4 linked regions of the Cricetulus griseus genome follow. The protein of the gene in region 2 interacts with the protein of the main gene of each other region in a pairwise test. Links are inferred from orthologs where the notes say so. Each region holds a gene or a part of one and is shown on either strand. Other genes may lie near its edges.

Evidence for each region. The genes of interacting proteins can lie anywhere in the genome.
Region 1: the proteins of Mrpl11 (region 2) and Tax1bp1 interact in binary tests that used the Homo sapiens proteins (3 or more experiments, as listed by UniProt). The two-hybrid records come from large-scale screens. The link is inferred for Cricetulus griseus from reciprocal best matches to the Homo sapiens genes MRPL11 and TAX1BP1.
Region 3: the proteins of Mrpl11 (region 2) and calcium/calmodulin-dependent protein kinase type II subunit delta interact in binary tests that used the Homo sapiens proteins (3 or more experiments, as listed by UniProt). The two-hybrid records come from large-scale screens. The link is inferred for Cricetulus griseus from reciprocal best matches to the Homo sapiens genes MRPL11 and CAMK2D.
Region 4: the proteins of Mrpl11 (region 2) and Fsd2 interact in binary tests that used the Homo sapiens proteins (3 or more experiments, as listed by UniProt). The two-hybrid records come from large-scale screens. The link is inferred for Cricetulus griseus from reciprocal best matches to the Homo sapiens genes MRPL11 and FSD2.

The regions. Positions count from the first base shown.
Region 1 is NC_048601.1:88,622,816-88,628,896, forward strand, and holds the start of Tax1bp1 (tax1-binding protein 1), read right to left. Parts: upstream 3,827-6,081; 5' UTR 3,693-3,826; intron 3,257-3,692; exon of another isoform or gene 3,105-3,256; intron 1-3,104.
Region 2 is NC_048596.1:54,325,465-54,331,534, forward strand, and holds Mrpl11 (39S ribosomal protein L11, mitochondrial), read right to left. Parts: upstream 3,973-6,070; 5' UTR 3,883-3,972; coding exon 3,760-3,882; intron 3,436-3,759; coding exon 3,340-3,435; intron 2,842-3,339; coding exon 2,748-2,841; intron 2,665-2,747; coding exon 2,505-2,664; intron 1,113-2,504; coding exon 1,007-1,112; 3' UTR 820-1,006; downstream 1-819.
Region 3 is NW_023276806.1:32,180,065-32,186,120, reverse strand, and holds the start of calcium/calmodulin-dependent protein kinase type II subunit delta, read left to right. Parts: upstream 1-2,230; 5' UTR 2,231-2,379; coding exon 2,380-2,444; intron 2,445-4,022; coding exon 4,023-4,117; intron 4,118-6,056. UniProt on the Homo sapiens protein: Calcium/calmodulin-dependent protein kinase involved in the regulation of Ca(2+) homeostatis and excitation-contraction coupling (ECC) in heart by targeting ion channels, transporters and accessory proteins involved in Ca(2+) influx into the myocyte, Ca(2+) release from the sarcoplasmic reticulum (SR), SR Ca(2+) uptake and Na(+) and K(+) channel transport.
Region 4 is NC_048596.1:115,969,880-115,975,913, reverse strand, and holds the start of Fsd2 (fibronectin type III and SPRY domain-containing protein 2), read right to left. Parts: upstream 3,827-6,034; coding exon 3,194-3,826; intron 2,876-3,193; coding exon 2,780-2,875; intron 1-2,779.

The DNA.
Region 1 (6,081 bases), on a different chromosome or scaffold from region 2:
AAACCAGCCGGTCACAACTCCTTTGGATGTCAACTGACACTTTCACAGGGGTCACCTAGGACCATGAGAAAACATTTTCAGATATTACAGATATTTACAATTCATAACAGTGCCAAGATATCAGTTATGAAGTAGCAGCAAAAATAATTTTATGGTTTGGGCCACAACATGAGGAACTGTATTAAAGGGTTGCAGCATTATGGAGGTTGAGAATCATTACTCTATGCCATCTTTGCACTAAAACCCAATCTTATTATTTCTAGAATTCACTAATATCTAGAGGTAAATAAGAGACAGTAGGCATTCAGCTAAGCAAATAGCTAAAAGCATTTCATTATCATCTTTACTGTTCTTGGGCTTTTTTACAAGCCCCAAACAGAGCAGCCTTTTGTGGTAGTATTTCCTCCAGTGGCTCCATATGAAGTTAAACTTTGAAATTTTTTTTGTTTATTTTTCGAGACAGAGTTTCTCTATGTAGCTTTGGAGCCTATCCTGGCACTCTCTGTAGACCAGGATGGCTTTGAACTCTCAGAAATCTACCTGCCTCTGCCTCCAGAGTGCTGGGATTAAAGGTATGCATCACCAACTCCCGGCTTAAACCTGTTTTTTGTTTGTTTTTGTTTTTCAAGACAGGGTTTCTCTGTGGCTTTGGAGGCTATCCTGGAACTGACTCTTGTAGACCAGCCTGGCTTTGAACTCACAGAGATCTGTCTGCCTCTGCCTCCGGATTACTGGGATTAAAGGTGTGTACCACCACCGTCCTGCTAAACTTGGATTTTTAAAGTTTAGATAGTTCACCTACCCTATCAATTAAGCTTCCAAAAGAGCTGTGTGATACAATTAAAGTCTTTTTAAAAAATTATCAGTTAGCTACTAATTAAGAGTGAAAAGGCTTGATTTCTAGCATTTGATTTAAATGCTCCAGGAGTGGGGGATAATAAAATAACAGAAAAAAAATTCCAACTTCACTTCTCCTAGTCCTTTTATTAGTCAGAAATTTCAAGAATAAAGTCAATAAAAGCAAACTGGCAATAAAAAGCCCCGTGTCTGTGTGTCTTCAACAGAAAACACTGCATGAACACTTTGTACCCTTGCAAAGTACCATAATTAAGATAATGGTTGACAGCCAATGTTTTTAAAAATCTTCAGTTACAAAAATAGGACCTATTTCCAGCACTTGGGAAATAGAGGCAGGCAGATCTGAGTTTTAGGAGGCCTGGCCTACATAGTTAACTTCCAGACAGCCAAGGCTACATACATAGCAAGACCCTGTCTCAAAAATAACATACATACATACATACATACATACATACATACATACATACATCTTCATGGGGATAAAAATAGCCTGGTAGTTCCCTTACTCATTCTTCAGCTCCTTTGCCTAGTTTGTAGAATACCATACTCTCAGAAAGATGTTATCAGTCAACTTTCTAGGAGGCTGAAACAAAGACCTTGTTAATTTGCATTGCTGAAGACATCTTTATCTCCAGTGCTTTCACAGCTGAGTATTCCTACATTCTGCCCAGCTGCCACCCAGTTGTACTTGTTTTCTCTGTTGAGAAAGGCTCTATGTACTATAGTCCAGGCTGGCCTCAAGCATATGACACCCCGCCCACACACATACACATACACATACACACATACACACATACACACACACACACACACACACACACACACACACTCACACACACATCCAACTAAGCCTCCCAAGCGCTAGAATCCCAGGTGATAAAACATCAGGCCTGATTTAACTTTTCATAAATTCGTTTCTAAAATACTATGCTCTTGGCCCACAGGTATATAGAACAGGAAATTTGTAATTTTGAAGGCTCATTGAAAAGTGTAAACTTTAGAGTCATAAGTACATAAAGCCCAAATTTTAGATACTAACAGACATTCCAAAAGAAAACAATCTAATAAACCTTACAGGTGAGGCTGGGCTTGATGGCAAACACCTTCAATACCAACACTCAGAAGGCCAGTAGAGGCAGGCTGATCTGAGTTCAAGGCCAGCCTGGTCTACATGAAGAGTTCCTGGACAGCGAGGACTACACAGTGAGACCTTGGCAATATATAAGTCAAAATAAACTTTACAGATAATTCCTTACCTGTATAGTGCAAATGTATATAAATAAAAATGTATAGATAGGATCAAGCATAAAAACTTAGCATCCTAGGGGCTGGAGAGATGGCTCAGTAAAGAGCACTTTTTGCTCTTGCAGAGGACCCTGGTTCGGTGCCCAGCACCTACATGGTAGTTCACAACCATCCATCACTCTAGTCCAGGGGGATCTGACACCCTCTTCTGACTTGTGGCCACCAGGCATACACATGATGCACATATACAGATGCAGGCAAAACACTCATAAAATAAGCCTAAATAATTATTTTTAAACAGCACTCTTTAAAAATTGCAACTAATAATGCAAGGATGTTATTTTGTCCTAGAAAATGCATTCACTGGTTAAATTTCACATACATGGCTACAATCGTAAAAGCAAACAGTATGCAACTAATGTAACAATTTGAAAACGACTTTGTTTGAAATTTAACAGAGGATGGGCAGGGTGGGGGTAGTAGTTAACAAGTCATTTCCAGCATAGTCAAATATATTCTTGTAGAAATCATATAACTTATAAGTCCAAGGTGGTGCTGTTTGCCTGTAACCCTAACATTCGGGAAGGACACAGAGATCAGAATGGAGGCCAGCGCTTGGCCTCAGCCTCGTCTCCACACCTGGAGAGCACCTTAAAGCTCCTAAGCCCACAACCAGCCCACTTTAACAAATGTTATTCAAATAATCTTTTTCAAATGTTCTTGGGTTGAACCCTAAAAGATTAATTAGTATCTGTTCCTGTACTGATCACGAAATTTCACCGCTGGCGGGAAGCAGCGATGAAAACTTTTCCACCTAAGTTTCTAACACACTACTAACTTGCAGCTCTAGAGCCGGAAATGTATCGCAGTCAAATGCCACCGCGTTTTCCAACAAAACTCTTGAGGAACAAACTGTCCTTCGTATTTCTCAGTAGAGAAATACAGGCGTCCACGCCAGCTAAGTCCTAACAGCACAGACCTGCCCGGCACCACCTTCGTACCTGTCCAAACACAGGGCAGCGTCGCCCAGGGGTCGGGAGAGGGAGGCGGAGCCGTGAAAGCAGTCCAGACAGCCTAAGAGCGAAGTCACCCTGCCCAAGATTTCGTAAAGCCTTATCTGTGGGGAGGGCGGCTTTCCAAACCCCAAGACTTAATTAATCTCTTCGCCCAGGTGAAGCCAGAGATCAGGCCAAAACGCGTAAACACAGAACGAGGCGGAGCAGGGCGTCCCCGCCTCTTCCTCCAGAAGCCACTCAAACCAAAACAGTGCGTCCAGGCTCCGGCTGGGTCCTCCCCGGCTCGCCGCGGCCTGGCGTCGGCCACCCTGGGCGCTCCCCACCGGCCTCCTGCCCGGCAGACCCCGGTTCGCCGCGGCCTAGCTCGCCCGCCTCCGCCGCGCCTCCCCGTCTCCTGGCCACTCGGGCCCACGCACACGTCACAATCGCGGCCCGGGGAAACCTGTCCTTGGGAAGGAGCGCTCCGTCACCACGGAGACGGTACCAACACGCGCCAGGCCCAGGTTCCAGGGCCGAGACGGGGCGCGAGCGCCGGGCCCCCCGCCAGGCACGCGGCCCAGACGCAGGCCTCACCCGTCAGGGCCTCCGCCCGCCGCGCTCCGCCGCGCTCCGGAGCCCCGGAGCTCCGCCACCACGGACCGGCAACTCCGCCTCTGAGCCCCAAGCCGGCGTCGCGTCACTTCCGCCCTAGGAACGCCCGTTTCCGCCACCGTCTCTGCGCATGCTCCGTGACGACACGCCCTATTCGCCCGCTGCGGGGGGGGCGGAGGGGAGTTCTTGGTGGATTTCCTCCTGACAGCTTGCTTGTCTTCTGGGGCTTTCGCTCAGTGATGTAGTAGTTACCCCAAAACACAGGCCGCTTAAGACAAGTTAATTAACTTGCCGGCGAGGTGGGAAGGATCGCCCAGAGGCGACCTGGGTCTTAAATATCAGTTTGTGTCAATACATCTGTTTAAATGTCTAGAGAACCCCCAAGAACTATTGGAGAGACCAGGGGCTCAACCATCACGTTCCTGTGTTGCCATAAAACTGATGACACTTACAGCATCACCAGCGAAGAAGAGGTAACAGATTAAACATTACAGCAACAACACATAAAATCTGCCTTCATGTTCATTTTCCACATAATTCAAGTCCACTTGGCCTCCATGAGAAAGGGCCTTAATATTTGCTGACTCATTTGTTTCTTATGTATTGAAATCACTGACGGCAGGAATTTTACAGGGGCCTCTCCATGCTTGTCCTCCAAAAGGAAACAATCTGTTGAGACATAGGCAGTTGAAGCAAAAGTTATTTAGCAAAAGTATTCCAAAGGGAGAGAGCAGTACTTTGGGTTCAGCATTGTGGGTTTTAAAGAAGTATTTATGAATGCTGTGGGTACTGTATTCATGAGGTAAGGTAAATAATATTCCCACACAGGAACATTATGAATCCGGATAGAATACACTTGCTTATGTGGGGTTCCAATTGAAACTGAACATTTAACAGAGAAAGGTAATCTATGTAGGTCAAAGTAAATTTAGAAATTTAAATTTAAATTATTTTCGCTTCCACATCATGATTAACCAAGTCTTCTATTTCTTCCTATGCTGCTCTAGCAAAACCCACAAAGGAAATGGGTTAAAACCACAATGTTAATAATAGTATGAAACTGAGGTCTTTTGAGGCTTCCCACCCTGCATTTTAGTGCAACCATGGGAAAATGCCCTGGAGTAATTAGTACTTGTGTGTGTGTGTGTGTGTGTGTGAGAGAGAGAGAGAGAGAGAGAGAGAGAGAGAGAGAGAGAGAGAGGGAGGGAGGGAGGGAGGGAGGGAGGGAGGGAGGGAGGGAGAGAGAGAGGGAGAGCCCATTTGCAGCATCGAGACATTCATCCACAACTGGGCATTCTGTTGATCAGGAGACAGCTACCAAAATACAGGGACAGGGTTTTGTTTCTGTTTTTGTTACTTCATATGGAACCCCTTTTCAGATTACTCAAGGTCCCACGATTGATCTCATGATTGGCTGTGAGTTAAGACATTCTACTGCCCCAAGATAAAGACATTCTGTTATTTCTAAACTTATACTCTATGAGGAAAACTGGAAACAGGGATTTACGACATCAAGTTGTACAAGCAGGAACAGGCTATCTTTCAGGACCCCCTCTCCCAGTCCCACTATCATCTACCTAAACACCCTCACTCTTATGCTGTTTATTGTACTTGATCCTAGAATTTCAAGAGAAGTTTGTTGCATTAGTCTTAACTGCCTCATTTTACAATTGAAAAACATTGTGTAATCAGCTTCTGCTAAAATTCACTCCCAGGAAGGAGAAGTAAGCAATGACTACCCCTCCTTACAAGGTCCCAAAAGCAAATGGACAAACAGGCATGATTCCTCCAAAGTTCACTCTGAGCAAACTTTGAGTTTATTTTTGAGTCTAGGTGGCGGATTACCTGTGGATTTTGGGTGCTCCTCCCCCAAAGGCTGCACCTGGAAGTCTTTGCTCAGCTGGCATAATGGCTTTCCCCTAGTGGCACAGACAGAGCATCCAGCTTCCCCTAGTCTGCCTCATCCTAGATACTCTAGCCCAGTGTTCTCAGCCTGTGGGTTGTGACCCCTCTGGGGGTCACATATCAGATACCCTGCATATCTGATGTTTACATTATGGTTCATAACAGTAGCAAAATTACAATTATGAAGTAGCAAAAAAATAATTTAATGGTTGGGGTGGTCACCACAACATTAGGAACTGTATTAAAAAGTCACGGCATTAGGAACGTTGAGAACCACTGCTACTAGCTGCTTGTGCAGTCAAGGCAGAGCTGCATATAACAGGTGGTAAGAATCGACTGGATACCCAGGTGAAGGTCTTCCAACCCCTCCCTGAGGGGATGTAGTCAACAAACCCAGCTAAGACAATTCTTTTGCAAAGGAGCACGGCTAAACTCCCCAAGATGGCAGTTGCTTGGTCCAGAAGAT
Region 2 (6,070 bases):
TTTCCTTTATAAGAGTTGCCATGGTCATGGTGTCGCTTCACAGCAATAGAAACCCTAAGACACCAAGCATGCACATGGTGCATATACATACATACAGGCAAAACAATCACATATAAAAGAAAATGAGCTGGGCCATGGTGGCACATGCCCTTTAATTTCAGCACTCAGAAGGCAGAAACAGGTGGATCTATGTGAGTTCAAGGCCAGTCTGGTCTACAGAGTAAGTTCCAGGACAGTCAAGGCTACACAGAGAAACCATGCCTGGGGGGAGACAAACCAAATAAATAAAATGAATAGATTTACTTTTTTGTTGTTATTGTTTGCTTGTCTTTCAAGCAGGGTTTCTCTGTGTAACAGTCCTGGCTGTCCTAGAACTTATAGTGTAGACCAGGCTGGCCTTGAGCAGATAGCTCTACCTGATCCTGCCTCCTAAGTGCCGGGATTAAAGGTGTGCGCCACCACCATCTGGCTTAATAGATGAATTTTTTTTTAAAGTGAGGTCTAGTGGAAGGTGCTGAGGAATCCCACCTTTCTTATTGTTGGCTTTAAGGAAGAAACTGTTTCAAGTGAGGTTACCTCTCATAGACAGCCCTATGCATGTGACTATTTCCACTAAACCATGCTGTGACACAGCCAAGAGAGCCCTTGCCAGACACCAGCACCATGAATGAGAAGCCAAATAGATATTTTTTCTTTATAAAGTACCAAGCTTTGGTAATCTGCTTGGCTGAGCCTATGCTCACTTGTGGGGCAATGCATACCTGTGAAGGTTGATGACTGTCAGTATTAGTCCCCATCTCTGAGTTCTCAAGAGGGAAATTGAGAGTGGGTAACAAAGGATGTTTATTCCAGCGTGACCCATTAGCACAGCCATATGTATGGAAATATACATAAGAAGTCAGGAAACTATAAATCATGAAGTCCTTTCCTCTCCTTTGGTTCAGCTTTCTCGGTAGGCTCTCTTCTCGGCTCTTCTTTCAAAATTCCAGAGTGTGGAAGGCTGGGATCACTTCTTGGCAGCTGCTGCCTGGGCTGCCAAATCTGCCTCTTTCTGTGCAGCCAAAACCACGGCTCGTTCCTTCTGGAAAGCTGCCAGTTCTTCTGCACTGAGGCTGCAGGTGGACAAAGATGGTTAGTGAGTGGCGGGTCCTAGCACAGACCCCAGCTGCCCTTCCCCTCTCTGGACTCCCAACTCCCATATCTCTGCTCAGGTTTCCTCTACCTGGATCCATACAGTGAGATATCGGAGACAACCACATACTCCACCTTCCCATAGCTTTGATTCCCATCTTAAGGGCCTACTTAACCAGTGGCCTCTACTCTACTACTGGGATTTACTAGACCTTCCTTTGAGCCACAAACACTTCACATGAGGGAGTCATAGGCTTGTATGTAGACACTCCCCTCTATGCCCCACAAAGTAAGGACCTGAAGAAACATCAAGGCCACCTGTGCTCTACACTGCCTCCCTGAGGATCAGCCAATACCAGCCTTGCTGTGGAGTATAACATCTGCAGCGAAGAGGCCTGTGATGACCGTCCCTGTTCCAGTCTCTGACATGGTCTGGGTCAAATGCTCTCCCACTTACAATTTACTTCAAGTAAACAATTCCTGAGATCATCCAAAGCCAGCTGACTGGGACAGCTGTTGGCCTTAGGATGGAGTCTGAATGTGAGACAGCTCAAAAGATCCTCCCCGACTGCTCCCTGCTTCAGATCATGCCCCACTCGGCCTCTAGACAAGACTCCTGTAGCTTCAGCCCCTTACCTCTCATTATTCACTGCAATTTTCCCACTTTTTGGAACATTGCTCCTTTACCCTCCTTTTCCTGGGCTGTTTTGATGTCATCTCCTTCAAAGAGTCCTCACTGACACACCAGGTAAAAGCAGGAACTCTCCTCTCTGCTTTCATGACATCCACTGATTTTTTAAACAACACTGACCAAATGCCAGTTTAATTCTCTATGTATGGATCTGCCTCTACCTTAGGACTATACATTTTTCCAGAGTGGCCAAATACTACTGCTCATTTCTGGTTATATCCAATGTGCTGAACCATGTCTAGCACATAACAGGGGCTTATGAAGCATATTCCAAATGAACAGAAGAGGCTTTCACCCATATCCTTCTGCTAGAATCTCAGGTCCTTCGACTTAAAAACTCTACATGTAGCCGGGCAGTGGTGGCACATGCCTTTAACCCCAGCACTTGGAGGCAGAGGCAGGTAGATCTCTGAGTTCGAGGCCAGCCTGGTCCAGAGAGCCAGTTCTTGGACAGCTAGGGACACACAGAGAAACCCTGTCTCAAAAAAACAAACAAACAAAACAAAACCCAAACAAAAAAACAAAAACTCTACATGTATAAAAATATCATAATGAAAGCTATCATGTATAACTAATACATGCTATAAAATTTTTTTAAACCTGACTATTTCACTATAATGGGCCCTCTCACTTTACTCCCAAATAGGAGCTTCCTTTCCACAGCACCGTTCAGGATACTCACTCTTTCACCACACGAATGCCCAGGGAACGGGCAGAGCCAATGATGGAACGGACAACAGAAGACAGGGGCACATCTTGCAGGGCGAAAGCATCATCCTTAGCTTTGACACAGGCAATCTCATATATGTGCTTCAAACTCACCAGGCCTGCTACCTCTTTCCCTGGGAAGAAGGAACAAGCTCCAGTTGTCACTACTTTTTTTTCTGGACACATCAGAATCTCAGGCACCCACTCTAGTCCTTACCTGTTTGTCGGGCCCCCTTCTCAATCCCAGCTGCTGCCTTCAAGAAGTAGGAAATAGTGGGTTGCCCAATCTTAAGCTCAAATGTCCTGTCAGGCTTGATAGAAAGAAAGATATTGAGAATTTCTTGGTTTTCTATTCAGGTTCAGGGAATTTGTAATGTCCCTTTTCTTCTCAAATCAACTTGCCTTCCTGTGGTGTCTTTAACACCACAAAACCATAGCACACATCTATGAAATGAAAGATATGAGCCAAAATATAGTAGGACTGGGCTGGAGAGATGGCTCAGAGGTTAAGAGCACTGACTGCTCTTCCAGGGGTCCTGAGTTCAATTCCCAGCAACCACATGGTGGCTCACAACCATCCGTTATGAGATCTGGTGTGCAGATATACATGGAAGCAGAATGTTGTATACATAATAAATAAAATCTTTAAAAAAATATGGTAGGACTAAGACGGTTCAGAGAAATTATGGTTGAGGTTTCACTGTGTAGATGAGGAAAGTGGAGAGTGACAACCAGGTTAGGGACAGAGAAGCAACCCCGGGCGACTAGTTTTAAGCGCCAAAGAAGACTACAGAACAATGAGACTGCACCTTCACAAAAATCTTTGTAGGCAGGGGAATGCCTTCTTTGATGTCCTTTGTCTTCTCGTTGAACTCTTTGCAGAACTGGTTGATAGAGACGCCTCGCTATGAGGAAAGCATAAAGTTAAGTGTAGGAGTTAAAGGGTTTCTACCACCCAGGAGCCCGTCCCTTCCCTCCTTCGTCTTCATTTCCCGTGTTCCTATATTTCTTCTATCCGGATTCAATTACAGCTTCGTGTCTGGACGATTCGTCCACAAGGTCCCACTTAATCAGCAACTAGCCAACTGGGAAGGGTCAGAGAAACTGAGGTCAACAGAGGCTACGTAAGCAACACAAAGACACAAGGCGTGCGGGTGCGAAGAGCCGCGACTTCCCATCTATCCGCTACCGCCTTCCGTGTCCCCCGGGCCCGGTTCCAGACACTACACCTGCCCCAAGATGGGACCTAGTGGGGGCCCAGGCATAGCTTGGCCTGCTCGCACGATAGCCCGGACCACGCCACCAGCCTCCGGCTTCCTGAGGGCCCGAGAGACTCGGCTTAGCTTCGACATGATGCGGGATTTTCAGTCTTAGTTCGCCTTGGAGCAGCAAGAGCTACGCTCTGGGCGCTGCCATTTTGGGTCAGAGGTCACGGGTCCTCACGTTAGGCTAGGGTGAGGCCAGCAAAGAACAGCCTAGTTTCAGTCACACAACTCTCCAACCAAAGACGGGATAAGGAATCAAAAATATCTAAACTTTGCGCTATGAAGACAGGAAGAGAACCTGTACGGCTTCGGTCCACACAAACCCTCAGGAGTGCGCACAGGCACTAGATTAGACAGCCAAACAGGAGTGCGGGACCTTGATTCTCCGCACGGCATTGTGGGCTGTGTAGTTTCGGCGCCTTCTTCTGCGCCTGCTGTTAGCTGTGCTCTGGGTCGCCATCTGTCGGACACAGTATTATCTTAGTGTTTGAAATGGAGCAAGCAAGGGACTCCAAGTGGGAGTCCCTCGGGTCTTTTTGTTCCTCATGTAGTTTCACGTATGGAGTGGGAACAAACCGACAGACCGCTGCTCTTTCTGGCTAAGAACTTGAGCCATATCAGACAGAATTGGGTTCAGGTTAGAATGTCCTGTTTCATCCTCTGTACAACGGATGTTATAGATGCCTTTCGGAATTAATTGTGACAGCTCAATAGCACACTGCCTAGAACAACACTTGAACCCGGAAAGCAGTTACTGTTATTTGTACAAAGGAAAGGGATCAGCTTTTTGCAACCTTACCCCAATCAAACATGATTTCTTGGCAGCTCCTTGGGCATACTTTATTGCTCCCCTGACCTTCAGTTTTTTTATTAGAAGCAGATTTTACTGTATGTGTTTCAGCACTCTGCATCCTGCCCCAACTCTCCAGGGCTACTTGTCATTCGTTGCTTTCTAGTGAATGGCATTTGAAGCCTGGGGTTTTGAAGCCTTTGTTATCACTCCCTTGGGCAACCTTGTGTACCTATGCTCTTTGGTATAGCAACGGCCTTGGAAGACTCTGACTGACTCTCCTTGAGCACATCTAGCTATGAAGCTCCACGAATTGTAGGCTTAAGTTTTTATTTTCCACAATAGTCCAGAGTGTAAAGTTCTGCATAAGCTGATGCCCAGCCCCCAGACTGAGACTACTTTGAAGTAACTATCCACTAAATCCGTGTTTGAGATCCTTCAGATTCCAGGAGGATTCTTTGGTTCTTTTTACAATTTCTCTCAGGCCAAAAGGCAGCTTATTGTATAGCATATACCTCCAGACCCTATCAGCTTGCCCTGAACGGCCTCTCACAACCCTCCACTGTTTTTCCTTCTTTTTCCATTTCCTTGTGTGTGCAGTGTGGGTGTGGGTGAGTAGGTGTGCTTGCAAACGTGTGCATGTGCATGTGGAGGGCTGATGTTGATCCTCTTCCATTGCTCTTCTGCCCTAACACTGAGGCAGTGTCTCTTACGCAACCCAGAGCTTGCAGGTATGGTCCGTCTTGTTAGCCAGCTTGCTCTGGGGTTCCTCTGTTAGGCTGGAATTACAGGTAGATCACCATGCCCAGCTGGTATTGACGTGGGTTTGTTGAGATCCAACCTCTGGCCCTCACTCTTGTCTTGTGCAGGGAACACTTTGATAGCACACACACACACACACACACACACACACACACACACACACACACACTATTTTTTGAAATTGCCCTTAGACTTGAATCTACAAAACCTGCTGCAAATAAAGTCAGGTCCTTTCTGTAGTGACCCAGAAGCCTTTCTTTTATCACCATCTTCTGTGCTCAATGGAATCCCTGAGCCAGGCAGTGGTGTTGGCAGGAACAATGGTGTGTCTCCTTGAGAGACACCCCCACCACAGGAGCTGAGTGCTTAGTAGAAAAGGGGCCCAACAGCTTCCGGTCCCCTCAGTTTCCCTCACATCCTCCCCTCAGCATAACTCTGCAAGCTGGGGCAAGAGCAACCAGTACTCTGGGATTTTCTGTGGTGTTATACCAAAGTGGAGTGTCCATCTCACCAGCAGAGCCCTGGTGAAAGAAGGCAGACCCCATGATGAATGACTTTCTTTTTCTGTCCTTGGTTGTTCTTTTTGTTTGTTTGTTTGACTGACTGATTTTCAAGACAGGGTTCCTCTGTGTAGCCCTGGCTGTCCTGGGAACTGGCTTTGCAGACCAGGCTGGCCTTGAACTCAGATCCACCTGCCTCTGCTTCCTGAGGGCTGAGATTAAA
Region 3 (6,056 bases), on a different chromosome or scaffold from region 2:
TAGACTGAAAAGGCATGGGGACCTCTGAGTTTGAAGTCCAGCCTACTCCACATAGTGTGTTCCAGGACATCTAAGGAGATATAGTGAGACACTGTCCCAAACAAATAGAAAGTGTTCAAATTTAGGGACAGAAAAGACAAGATTTGTTTAGAACAAACTAAAAACCAAAGGAATCAAAGCTATGTAAAACCCCGAGAAATTTCAAGAAACCACCAAGGGTGTTCCACAATGACAACTGAACAGCATTGGTCTCCAGATATGAAACAGACAAGAAAAGAAGGGACATGTACAGGTCCCATATGCTTGGCCTTGTCAAAAATCCGCATTAGGAGTCTAATGCATGGCAAGGACAGCAAAAGATACAAGTAAAATTGAGGGGAAAATTATAGTCAAACAGGCCAGTAAATGACATTTTCATGGGCAGAACAATGCAGACATTGAATGATGACTAAATACAAAAAAAAGTTTTCTTGTGTTGTTGCGTGGGAGAGAAGTATGAGCAATATTTGCAAAACGTACACCAGAAAAGCATTTAAAAATTCTATGACTAGCTCGAGTACTTGAGTTCAAAGGCCACTCATAAGCTAATAGCATTCTTTAACAGGAAATAAAAGAATTAAGAACATTCCTGACAGTGAGCAAGAACCCTCTCAGAAAGCCTATACAATCTCCATAACTGAAAGTTACCTATCACCTTTCTGCTGTGAAATTTTGAGTGCATGATGTAATTCTAGGCATGAGCAAATTAGCAATAGGAATGCAGGATTTTATGGTATTTTGTAGAACAAGAGGAGCAAAAACAAAAAACGTTCATGATGCTTCTGTTTCCCGTCGGCCTCTAAATCTGCAATTGCCACGTTTATTAAAGATTCAGAACTGGAGAGGATCTTAGCAACCAGTGACAACTTACCTATCTTACATGCTAATTTTTTCTCCACTCTAACTATTAAGCAACAGTGGACTCAAGAGCAGGCACATTCTTGAACTCTTCAGTGGTTTTGCAGATAGCCACTGATGGAGTGCGTTCCTGTGCCCCTACCTGGCCTGTTCTTTGAGAATGCCAGCAAAAAACTCACGATCTCCCTCTCCTTGTCCCTTCTCCCTTCTCAAAGCGAAACAGGCTCGACACACGCACGTGATGCTAATGACGTCAGCCCCCACTGGGTCGCGTGACCCGCAGCCAACGGTCCTACTGCCCCACCCCCTCGCCACCAGAGTGGGACATCTCGCGAGAACTCTTCTTACTATCAGAACTTGCTGAGGTTACAGGGGATTTACTCAGGAGAGGAAGGAAGGTGTGGCAGAGTGCTGGACTTTTTGCTTTCATTATGTTAGGATTTATGGCCATGCAAAGGCTTATGGGGATTGCCCTAGTCAGGAAAACAAAGGGAGAGGAAGGTAAAGAGGTGACAGTAAAACCTGTAATGAAACGTGGCGCTCGGGCTGTCCTCACTCCTAGCTGAGGGACAGCGGGGCAGGGCAGAGGTGGCCTGGGCTGGCAGCCCCCGGCCGTCACTGCGAGCCGGCTCCGAGACGTGCGACCCGGGTCGGGGAGCAGTAAAGAACCGCGCCCAGAAGCAGAGGCTGCATCCCTCTCGGGCTTCCCTGGCACCGTGGCCGAGTGGCCGGCCTAGAGACGTCCCCAGTGTGCGAGCTGCGAGTCGTCCCTCATCTTCCCGACCCCTCGTGGGTCACTGCGCCATCCCGGTGCCCGTCCCCTAAGTGCGCTCCCCGCTGCCTCCGCACATCACCTCCCTCGGGTCTCCTTAGACGGCTGCGGGAGAGCAGCCCGGAGGGACGCGGCTGGAGTCGCTAGAGGGAGGTGTCGGGCCGGCGAGGAGGGGGCTTCGCAGGGCGGGGAGAGGCAGGAGGAGGCGCCGGGGAGGGAGGAGCTGCAGCGGCCAGCTTCGCCCGAGCCGAGCGCACTCTGTCTCCGCGCGGGTTCCCAGCCTCGGGGCCCCGTGGGGAGCGCGGGCCACCAGCGCCGCCTCCGCCTGCAGGAGCAGCCGGCCGGCTGTGGACTCTCGGGCGCCTGCCGCCGCCCCGGGCTCTGCGCTGAGCTCGCTCTGCGGCCTCGGTGTCACCAGCCACCCCTCCTGCCGGTCCCCCGACCCCTTCTGGGAGCGCTCTGCCCCGTGGCCGCAGTGGGAGGAGGAGGAGGAGAAGGAGGAGGGATCGCGGAGCGGGCTGGTCTGTCCACCGCGCCCCGCGCCCCGCCCCGCCCCTGCGCGCACTCCCTCGCGGGCGAGCTACTTTCGGACGAGGAAAGTGAGGGCGGCCCCCGGGTGACAGCGCGGCGCCGCCAGTCCCGGGAAGCCGCGTCTGTTCGCGTGTCGCCCGCCCGTCGCGCTCCCAGCGGCGCACTGTCCAGACCCCGCCATGGCTTCGACGACCACCTGCACCCGGTTCACCGACGAGTATCAGCTCTTCGAGGAGCTCGGAAAGTAAGCGTCCCTGCCTGGCATCTCCTCCCGCGAACCCCTGTCTCCCTCGTGGGGAGAGGGAGCCCGGAGGCCGAGGCGGGGTGACGGACCCCTGGCTTGGTGCGGGTGGAGCACAGAGGGGAGGAAACCCCTGCCCCTCTGTGACGGGTGTCTCGAACCCCCAGTCCTCCTTTTCGGGGTCTTCCGCCTCTCCACGGGAGACTTGGTGAATTTACGATCTCTGCAGTTGTAGCTGTCATCCTGAGAAGTGTGCGCGCACGCGAGTGTGTGTGTGTGTGTGTGTGTGTGTGTGTGTGTGTGTGTGTGTGTGTGCCGAGAGGAAAGGAGATGCATGCAAAATGCAACATTTATCACATTTACGGTATATAGATGTCTCCTGCTCAGCCTGCGGTCGGTGTGTCTGCCGTCTGACCCAGGTTCCGATGAGCTGATGAGCACTGGCTCTTAGAGACGGTGCCATATTTATCGATGCCGAAAGTTCTACTTGGCTTGGTGGAGAGTCTGGTTCGGCATCCAAGTAGCTGTTCTGTCCAGGAAAAGGGCCACCCAACAGAACCCACTCCCTTGCCCCATATCCGCTATCCTTTGCTCACCATCATTCTCACAGGCTTTAAGTACGACTATATCTTTTCTGAGAAGATTTATTTATCCAGGCAGCGGAAAAGCCCTCTGGAGCTCAGGAAAGCACTTCCCAAGGGTAGCCTAGCCTTGTGGTTGTGTGTCAAATGACCTCCTCCACTTAAGTGCCAGAACTTCTTGTAGATGTTAAGGAGGGACAGGGTACCTACAGAAGATCTGTCCAGGGGCGACCAGAGAGACCCAGCCGGGAATGCCGATTTACCAAACATGCAACCCCAAACCAGTTCCTCTATTGCCGATTTTCACTATTAGGGAAAAGATGCATTTGTGTGTGTGCTGTAGGTTCGTACAGCTGCATAAAAGGAAGTGTAAGCATTTTAAATGGAATGAAAATGATATCTTTATAGATGATCTGCTGTTTGAAACATGGAGACTTGTCGGAAGAGCAGCTTAATTCAAATCTCTCCCCTCCCCCAGCCCAAACCAGGCAGAGAAATCACCTTACCCCAGGAGCTGGTAAAGCACACCAGTGAGCCCCAGATTTATGTTTTAATGGAAACAATCGCCATATTTACTTACTTGGAGCCACGTTAATTATTCTTCCTATCGAAATAAGCAGGCAGGAGATTATTTTATTTTCCCCCTGTTCCTCGGCTCTGCTCTTTGCAGGGTTTGCTATGAGCATTTGGTGTTTTGTGAGTGTGAATTATGAAATGTTTTCAAATTTCATGTGCAAACAAGAGTGGTCATAATTGGCATTTCCTTTTATTTTGTTGGTTAATAATGTGTGTTTCCAGTCAATTAAAATTTAGTTTTACTCCTCAACATTTAAAAGGGATCTGGGTTTGCCAGGAAGAATTGTTCATTTTCTAGAAAATGCTTATATTATATTGATATTTGACAGATCGCTAAAGACACGTACATATGCTCAGGTTTGTAAGTTTCTAAGTGGATACTAGGTCTGATTATACTGCTGACTTGCTAATTATTGGTTTCCAGGGGGGCATTCTCAGTGGTGAGAAGATGTATGAAAATCCCTACTGGACAAGAGTATGCTGCCAAAATTATCAACACCAAAAAGCTTTCTGCTAGGGGTGGGTATTTTAAACCACATTTATTTATATATGTTAATTTTGTATTTGTTGTGTAGATTGGTGTTGTCTTGTAAGTAAATGTAGCATGCAGTTATAACTGAATTTTAAACTTAGGAGTCATATTATGTACTGACATTTTTTCCTTGCCAAATGTCCCTTGGTCTGTATACTTTGATAGGAAATGAAAAATATATAATTGTTATGGGTAACATAAAATGCTGTCGTATGAGCAGTAACATAAATAAATACTTTGCAAAGCATATGAATGTCATGAAGTGCATTTTGCTGTTAGCTCTAGTGTGAAATAACTTTCAGAAGGATCCTAGAATGGAAAAAAATGTAAGTCTCATAACTGTCATAATTCCCTTTCACTTTTGAGATGAAAAACAGGTCATGGTTCAGTTGAATGTATATTGTAGTTGTAGTTACAGCTGAACTTAATACATCAAGGTATATTTAACCTCAATGGCTTTGGGAAGAAAAAAAAAAGATCACTGATGTAATCTAGGAAGCTAGCTTAATTTTGATGTACGTAGGTTAGGCCTTTAACTTGGTCTTGGAATTAAATTTCCCACCAGAGCATACATTATATTTACACCTGCAGTTTATAGCCATGGAGATAATTGATAATTAAAGCTGTTGACATAGTTTTTTAAAAAGCAACTTGGAGCCATGTGCTCACATTTTTTATATCATATTTTGTTTAAAATTATGCAAAAGCACATTTACTGAAACACTGGGCTTTGCAGTAGCTGCAGGCATGTGTCTAAGGTATTTTCATGGGAATTTATGGTTTGATGAAATTAAACTGAAATCAAAATGAACAAAACACCGTACAGCATCTCATCTCAGTGACCTGGTTTATTTTAAGTAATGAGAGGAAATTCCATTAGAGTTAGTTTTTCCTCACTGAATATATCTTTTAAGACATGCCACTTAAGGATGTCTGGATATCATTGCTTTTGTCCTTTGCTGTGGTAAAGGGATTTGCAAATGCTACTTTTAAGATGTGCTGTAGGTTTCAGGATATTGACTCACTTGAATGGAGTTCGGTTGCAATTTTCTTCATCTGGTTTGCTATAGTTCTGAGAAAGAGCTATGTGCTAGCACCATGGAGTCCTGGTATGAAAACTAATGAAGAGCGAGCTATGCTAATTACATTTCCCCTGCCAGTCTCCACTCCACTGGAAGGTGTTGTAAGAATGACAAGGCAGTGTAGAGGTATGAATGCCAGGTTAAGGGAAAGAAGAAGGCTGAAAAACAGACTTTTTCCAGGCATTGCGTTATTTCTTCTGGTGTGATACACACTTTGGCAGTGGTGGGCTATCAATTTGGGGGGGGGGGGCGGTGTTACCATGCCTATTCCAAGCTTTTTAGTGACTTTAAATTTCCCCTCAGAACAACAGAGACTGGTAGTCACTTTTACTAGCTTTATTAATTAGAGTCAATAATTTTTAGGCTCTTCGCTCATACTCCTTATATCGCCCTGGCAGAGAATCAGTCTCACTCACTCCCTTCTCCTCCCTGGGAGAAAAGTGCCCCTGATTGGCTCCTGCACTCTCTTCTCTGTAGAGCCCCCCATCTGCTCTCCATGAGCTTCTCTCTACACATCTCCTTCCTGACTCAGAAGGTGTTCTCTTCCTTTGCTACTTTTTAGTTATTCAGTTTTCATTATTTTCAGTTTTATATACGTGTGTGTGTGTGTGTGTGTGTGTGTGTGTGTGTGTGTGTGTGTGTTATACATGTGAGTGTAGGTGCCCTGGAGGCCAGAGACATCTGGTCTCCATAGTTGTGAACCCTCAGTCATATGTAGCAGGAACAAATCTCTTGGTCCCTGCAGGAGCAGAAGATCCTTTATCTGCTGAGCCATCTCCAACCTCTTCCTCTGAGTTTTTGTTTTATTTATCCCCCCCCCAAGAACATCATCTGTCCTGGAATG
Region 4 (6,034 bases), about 62 Mb from region 2:
AGGCGGATCTCTGTGAGTTCAAGGCCAGCCTGGTCTCCAGAGCGAGTGCCAGGATAGGCACACAGAAACCCTGTCTCGAAAAACCAAAAAAAAAAAAAAAAAAAAAAAAAAAACCCTGACTACCAGCCTGGTCTACAGCATGAGTTCCAGGACAGCCTCCTCTCTTTCTTTCTCTCTCTTCCTCTGTCTGTCTGTCTGTCTGTCTGTCTGTCTGTCTGTCTGTCTCCTGCTGCTCTTGTCCCCAGAGACCAGTCTCCCCGCTTCCCTTTCCCCTTTTTATGATTTTTATGATCCCTTTATCCTAATAAAACCCCTCCACTTGAACTCTATGGCATCTTTCTCTCTTGAGCTGCTTTTTTAAAATGACTTTGGTCCAAGTCAGCCTGCCACACACACTTGCACATCTATGCTTATTGAGGCTATTCAGAAAAGCTAAGTTGTGGAACTAAGCTATGTGTCCATCAATAGAGGGATGGGTAAAGAGCATGTATTTATACATGATGGAACTGTTTGCAGGAAAATGAATGCCAGTGGAGATAACCTACCTGTCCGTCAAAATGAGTGAATTAAGCTAGTCTCAGAAGACAAATATACATTCTCTCTTATTTGTGGCTCCTAAATCTTACATAGATTCATAAGATCATGTATGTACATATGCCACTAAAGTGTCTAGGTAGCAGAGAATATTAAGGGGAAAGGAACAAGAAAGATGAAAGAGGGGAGTGGAGTTGGAGGAATTACAACACATTATATACATGTGTGAAAATGTCCTGATGTAACAGTGTGTACAATGAATATGCACAATGAACATTTTCAAAGGGGAGGAAACTTTGACAATTCACACCTGATTTAATACTTGACAGTATCCCAAAAACCTCAAAGTAAAAACCCCAGAGAGCAAAGCAACAGCATGAAACCCGTTATGTCTGGTTATACAGCAGGACATCAGATAGGACCCAAGGAAATCTCAAGGTGAGACCAAGAGAAAGAAAAGGACAAAAGCAACCTGTTTTGTTTAAAATTCCCAGTCAGTGGAAAGGTTACTGGAAACCTCCTACCACTGTTACAATAAACCAATCAGACCAAATAAATAAATCCAGGTTTAATCTGAGCAAAGCATTCCTGGGTGGCCCCAGGAGAAGAGAAAACCAGGAACTAGGAGCTGCATCCAGAGATTGGGATTTTAACATCCTCCAGGGTGGGGCCACCAATGGTAGGTTTTTTAGGGGTAGAGTCTGGACTTAGGTGACTCCAGGGGATGGCCTGCCCTTGGCAACCTGAGGGCAGGGTTTGAAACAGGCTACCAAACATTCCAACCTCTTTGAATAGATATAGAGGCAGGTAGGACTTCCACCTAAACACAACCAAACAAACAAAAAGCCCATCAGGGGCAGGGGTTTAGGGAAGTGGTTCAGTTGGGGCAAAGAGCTTGCCAAGCAAGTATGAAGGCCTGGATTTGGATCTCCAGCACCTATATAAAAAGCCAGGTGCAGTAGTGATCCTATGTAATCCCATCACTGAGGTGACTGGAAACGGGGATCTCCAGGTCTTGCTGGCCAGCCAGGTGAGCCAAATTAGAGAACTCCAATTTCAGTGATAGGCCCAGTCTCAAAAAATAAGGTACAGTGTGGCTGAGGAAGACACCCAAACTTGACCTCTGAGCCTCACATGCATGAGCATACATGTGTATGTACACTTGTATACACAGGTACACACAAACACACATATATGTTCCCCACCACACACCAGCTTCAAGGACAGAAGAAAACTGTTCATTTCACCATCTGGATAGGGCTACCATAGTTTTCATTGTTGGAATTAAAAAAAAATTCTAAACCCCATGCAATTGGCACTTTGATTGGAAATTTTCTGCTTTATTTATCCATATAATAAACATGTATAAACACACTTGCTTTGAAACATCCAGTGTAACAGACCTGGAGATACACACACACCAGCCTCTCCCACCTAGATGACATAGTAAATGTAGTAGGGGATGCAGACAAGTGACCATCACCTCTGTAGCTACCCGGTGTGTGTGTGTATGTGTGTGTGTATGTGTGTGTGTGTGTGTGTGTGTGTGTGTGTGTGTGTGTGTGTGTGTAAAATCTATGGAGAGCTGAAGGGAGGGGACAGGTGACACCTCACATTCTAAGAAATAGGTCTGAGGCACATGCCTTTAATCCCAGGACTCGGAAGGTAGAGGCAGGGGGATCTCTGTAAGTTTGAGGCCAGCCTGGTCTACAAGAGCTAGTTCCAGGACAGCTGGAGCTGAAACACAGAGAAACCCTGTCTGGAAAAACAAAACAAAAAGAAGAAAGAAAAAGAAAAGAAATAGCGGCCGGGTGTTGGTGGCACACGCCTTTAGTCCCAGCACTTGGGAGACAGAGGCAGGTGAATCTCTGTGAGTTCGAGGCTAGCCTGGTCTACAGAGTGAGTTCCAGGACAGCCTCCAAAGCCACAGAGAAACCCCGTCTCAAAAAAAGAAAAGAAATACCATTTGCTTATTGTGGCCACGGATGGAAGCTACACGTGTGATGAAATCACCAAGTAGGTTCTTTTTTAAAAAATATTTATTTATTTATTTATTTATTTATTATGTGTACAGTGTTCTGCCTGCATGTTGCCTGCAGGTCAGAGGAGGGCACCAGATCTCATTACAGATGGTTGTGAGCCACCATGTGGTTTCTGGGAATTGAACTCAGGACCTTTGGAAGAACAAGCAGTGCTCTTAACTTCTGAGCCATCTCTCCAGCCCCAATACCAAGTATGTTCTTACCTCCACTGTAATGAACACCTCCTCCAGGTGGCTAGCAAAATTTTCCATCTCAATGATCTGCTGTTCCAATTTGAACATGTTTTTGTGGATTTCATCCTGTGGAACAGAACAAACAAGGTGTTAATGCTATGTTTGTTTTAATTTTGTTAAATTAAAAAAATATATGTATGGACATTTGCCTGCATGTATGCCTGTATACCATATGTGTGTCTGGTGACCACAGAGGCCAGAAGATAGCATCAGATCCCCTGGGACTACAGTTACAGGTGATTGTGAGCTACCATACTCTTAACGGCTGAGCTATCTCTCCAGTCCCCCATCCCATCCTAGTTGAGGCATTCAGGATGTATTCCCTGCCCACCTCCCTGAGACTCACAAATACTCTCCAGACAAAGATGGAAGGAGACCTGTTACCTTGGCACTTTCCAGTGCTTTGTTGAGTGGTGTTACTTCATGTTCTTTGTGTATTTCAAAATCCTTCTCAACAGTTCTTACTGGAGTTTTGCAAGTGACACAGAAGACATCAGCAGGCTCTTCTTCATCTTCCTCCTCTGGGATGACGTAGCATTCATACTCCTCACTGGCACGGCCATGTGTATACCTGTAGGCTTCCCGAAGGTCTTGGCACTGGCCAGGAAGGCCTTGCCCTCCATAGCCCAGGTCCTCCTCAGCCTCAGCCGCCTCACTGCTAAGCCCCCAGCCTCTCTGATCTCTGGCTGAGTCTTTCCTCCTCATCCCATAAGAAGGATACCCCAGAGTCCCCAGTCTGTGTTCATCAACAAACTCATCCCCTAACTCATGGTCATCTTCAAGTCCATATAAATGGACAAGCTCGTCCACTTCCTTCTGAAGATTCTTACTGTCCACTGTCCCTCTCGGCTCATTGGTCTGTTCAGCCTGGGTTACTTCTCTCCTGATTCTGCTGCTTTCTCCTGGGAAGAGCTGCAGCCTGTCTTCAGAGTCATACAGGTCCATGTGATAAAAGTGGAAGTCTTTGGGGGCTGTTGACCTGCCCAGCCCCGGCTCTTCCCCTGCTTCCTGCTCCATTGATACAGAACAGTCCTTCTCAGACAGTCAGTGGATCCTAGGACAAAGAAGAGATCAACATCAGTTCCCAAGAAGGCTATGGGTTAAGATCTCATCAAAGAAGTTATGGTCGAAGCCTGCATCATGGCAAACAAATTCACCAAACTGTCTGGGCTGGAGGTGACTCACAATTGTTCAACAATCAAGAAAAACACACGGAGACACAGGCTGGCTAGCAAGCAGAGGGAATTGGGACCCTGTTGAAGAAAGGTGCATTGGGGAGTACCACCCTGAAGTGGAGTCACCTGGAAGACCTTGTCTCAATCCTCAGCCCTCACAAAATATGTAAGATGATAAATATCGGTTATTTTAGGTAATCAAGCTGTGGAATAATAGTGTGCATGATACCAGCCTAAAACTAACCTTTCCCTCCTGCTACCATCTCTGCCTCTCTTTTGTTCATATTCAGGCTCTTTCAAAAGATGGGATTGATGATATTGGTCTTTTCCCCATGGCATGTGTATGAGGCTTTCCATGGGGAATGCAGGCACAGATACTATTAAGAGTTATCAGCTTTTAGATTCTTGGGTTTGTATTTAATATTTCTCTGGGTTGCTTTGCCTGGGAATGAGCCAGCATGTGAGGTTCTTTTCTCAACAGTCCTTCTCTTCTTTATTATAAAAGCAAAAATATACTTCCTGTTCATTCTGACTATTACATTGCACAGTGAGATTTCATTGCTTGGGATTCTAATAAAACCTCCAGGAGACTAGACAAAAGGACAATCTGAAGTATAGGTATCGATGCTGACAGTGAGTGACATTAATGAATGGGTAAGAAAAAATTTTTTCAAGGTAAGTGCTTTCCAGCTCTTTGCTTCCCACAAAATTGCAGGAGGATTTAATCAAGTTGTCAGCTGACACACTATTTAAAATAAATGTTCATGATAGGTCATTATGCAATTTTGGCATGTATTTCAGGAAGAACTGTCAGAACGGACTGGCATTGTTATAAATTGCTTCCCTTCCCACCTACTTATGTAGGTGAGCATGGTCACTCTGTGTTTGCATGGACAAAATTTAAAAAAAAAATACAAAATCTCATTCATGTTGCATTTCTAGAATGTGATATTTTCATACTTGGGTATGAATTTTTAAAAAACAAACAAAAAGTCCCATTCACTTTATTAAAAGATGCATTTGGGGGCTGGAGAGGTAGCCCAGTCAGTCAAGTGTCTGCCACACAAGCACAGGGACTGGAGTTCAGATCATTAAAATATGCCTCTTTAATCCAGCACTGGGAGATGGGTGAGGGACAGAGACAGGCAGGTACCTGGAGCTCTTTGATCAGCTAGCCTAACCCGACTGATGAGCTCCAGGTTCAGTGACAGTCTCTGCCTCAAAGAATAAGGGGAAAAGCCATCAATGAAGGGAGCTGACATTAGAATGTGGCCTTACACACACATGCACATACATGCACTTGCTCATATAAACACACACATATACCCACCCCACACATCCATTTCCATTTTATTTTTAAGTTATTTACCAAAATTGTAATGTCTACAAACTGCTCTCTTATATTCAACTAAAAATTATGTTGGTAACTTGATTCAGTAGAAAAATCATTTTACTATTTAGAGATTTGTGATTATAAGAAAAATAAGAGCCGGGTGTTGGTGGTGCACGCCTTTAATCCCAGCACTCGGGAGGCAGAGGCAGCCAGATGTCTGTGAGTTTGAGGCCAGCCTGGTATCCAGAGCGAGTGTCAGGATAGGCTCCAAAGCTACACAGAGAAACAGAGAAACCCTGTCTCGAAAAACCAAAAAAAAAAAAAAAAAAAAAAAAAAAAAAAAAAAAAAAAAAAAAAAAAAAAAAAGAAAGAAAGAAAGAAAAGAAAAGAAAAAAAGAAATTAGTTCCCATATTTTTTGAAGAAAATGCATAGATGATCAACAAATGACATTTCTAACATAGAACATGCCTTTCCACAATAAGTCTTTGAATGATCGGCAGCACCTCCAGGTTGCCGAGCACATTGCCTGCAAGTAAGTCCATTTCTCCCTTCAGTGGTCTCCAAGGCCAGAATTGCTTCCAGCCGTGGAAACTTAACCTCAGTCCCTCTCATCATTATCCATCCTGGATCTGTTTACTCCTTATTGCAGTGGACGATTCTCAACAGAACAATTCAAAGTCTTTTCTAAGACTTTCTCAGTCCTGAATGTCTGGTTG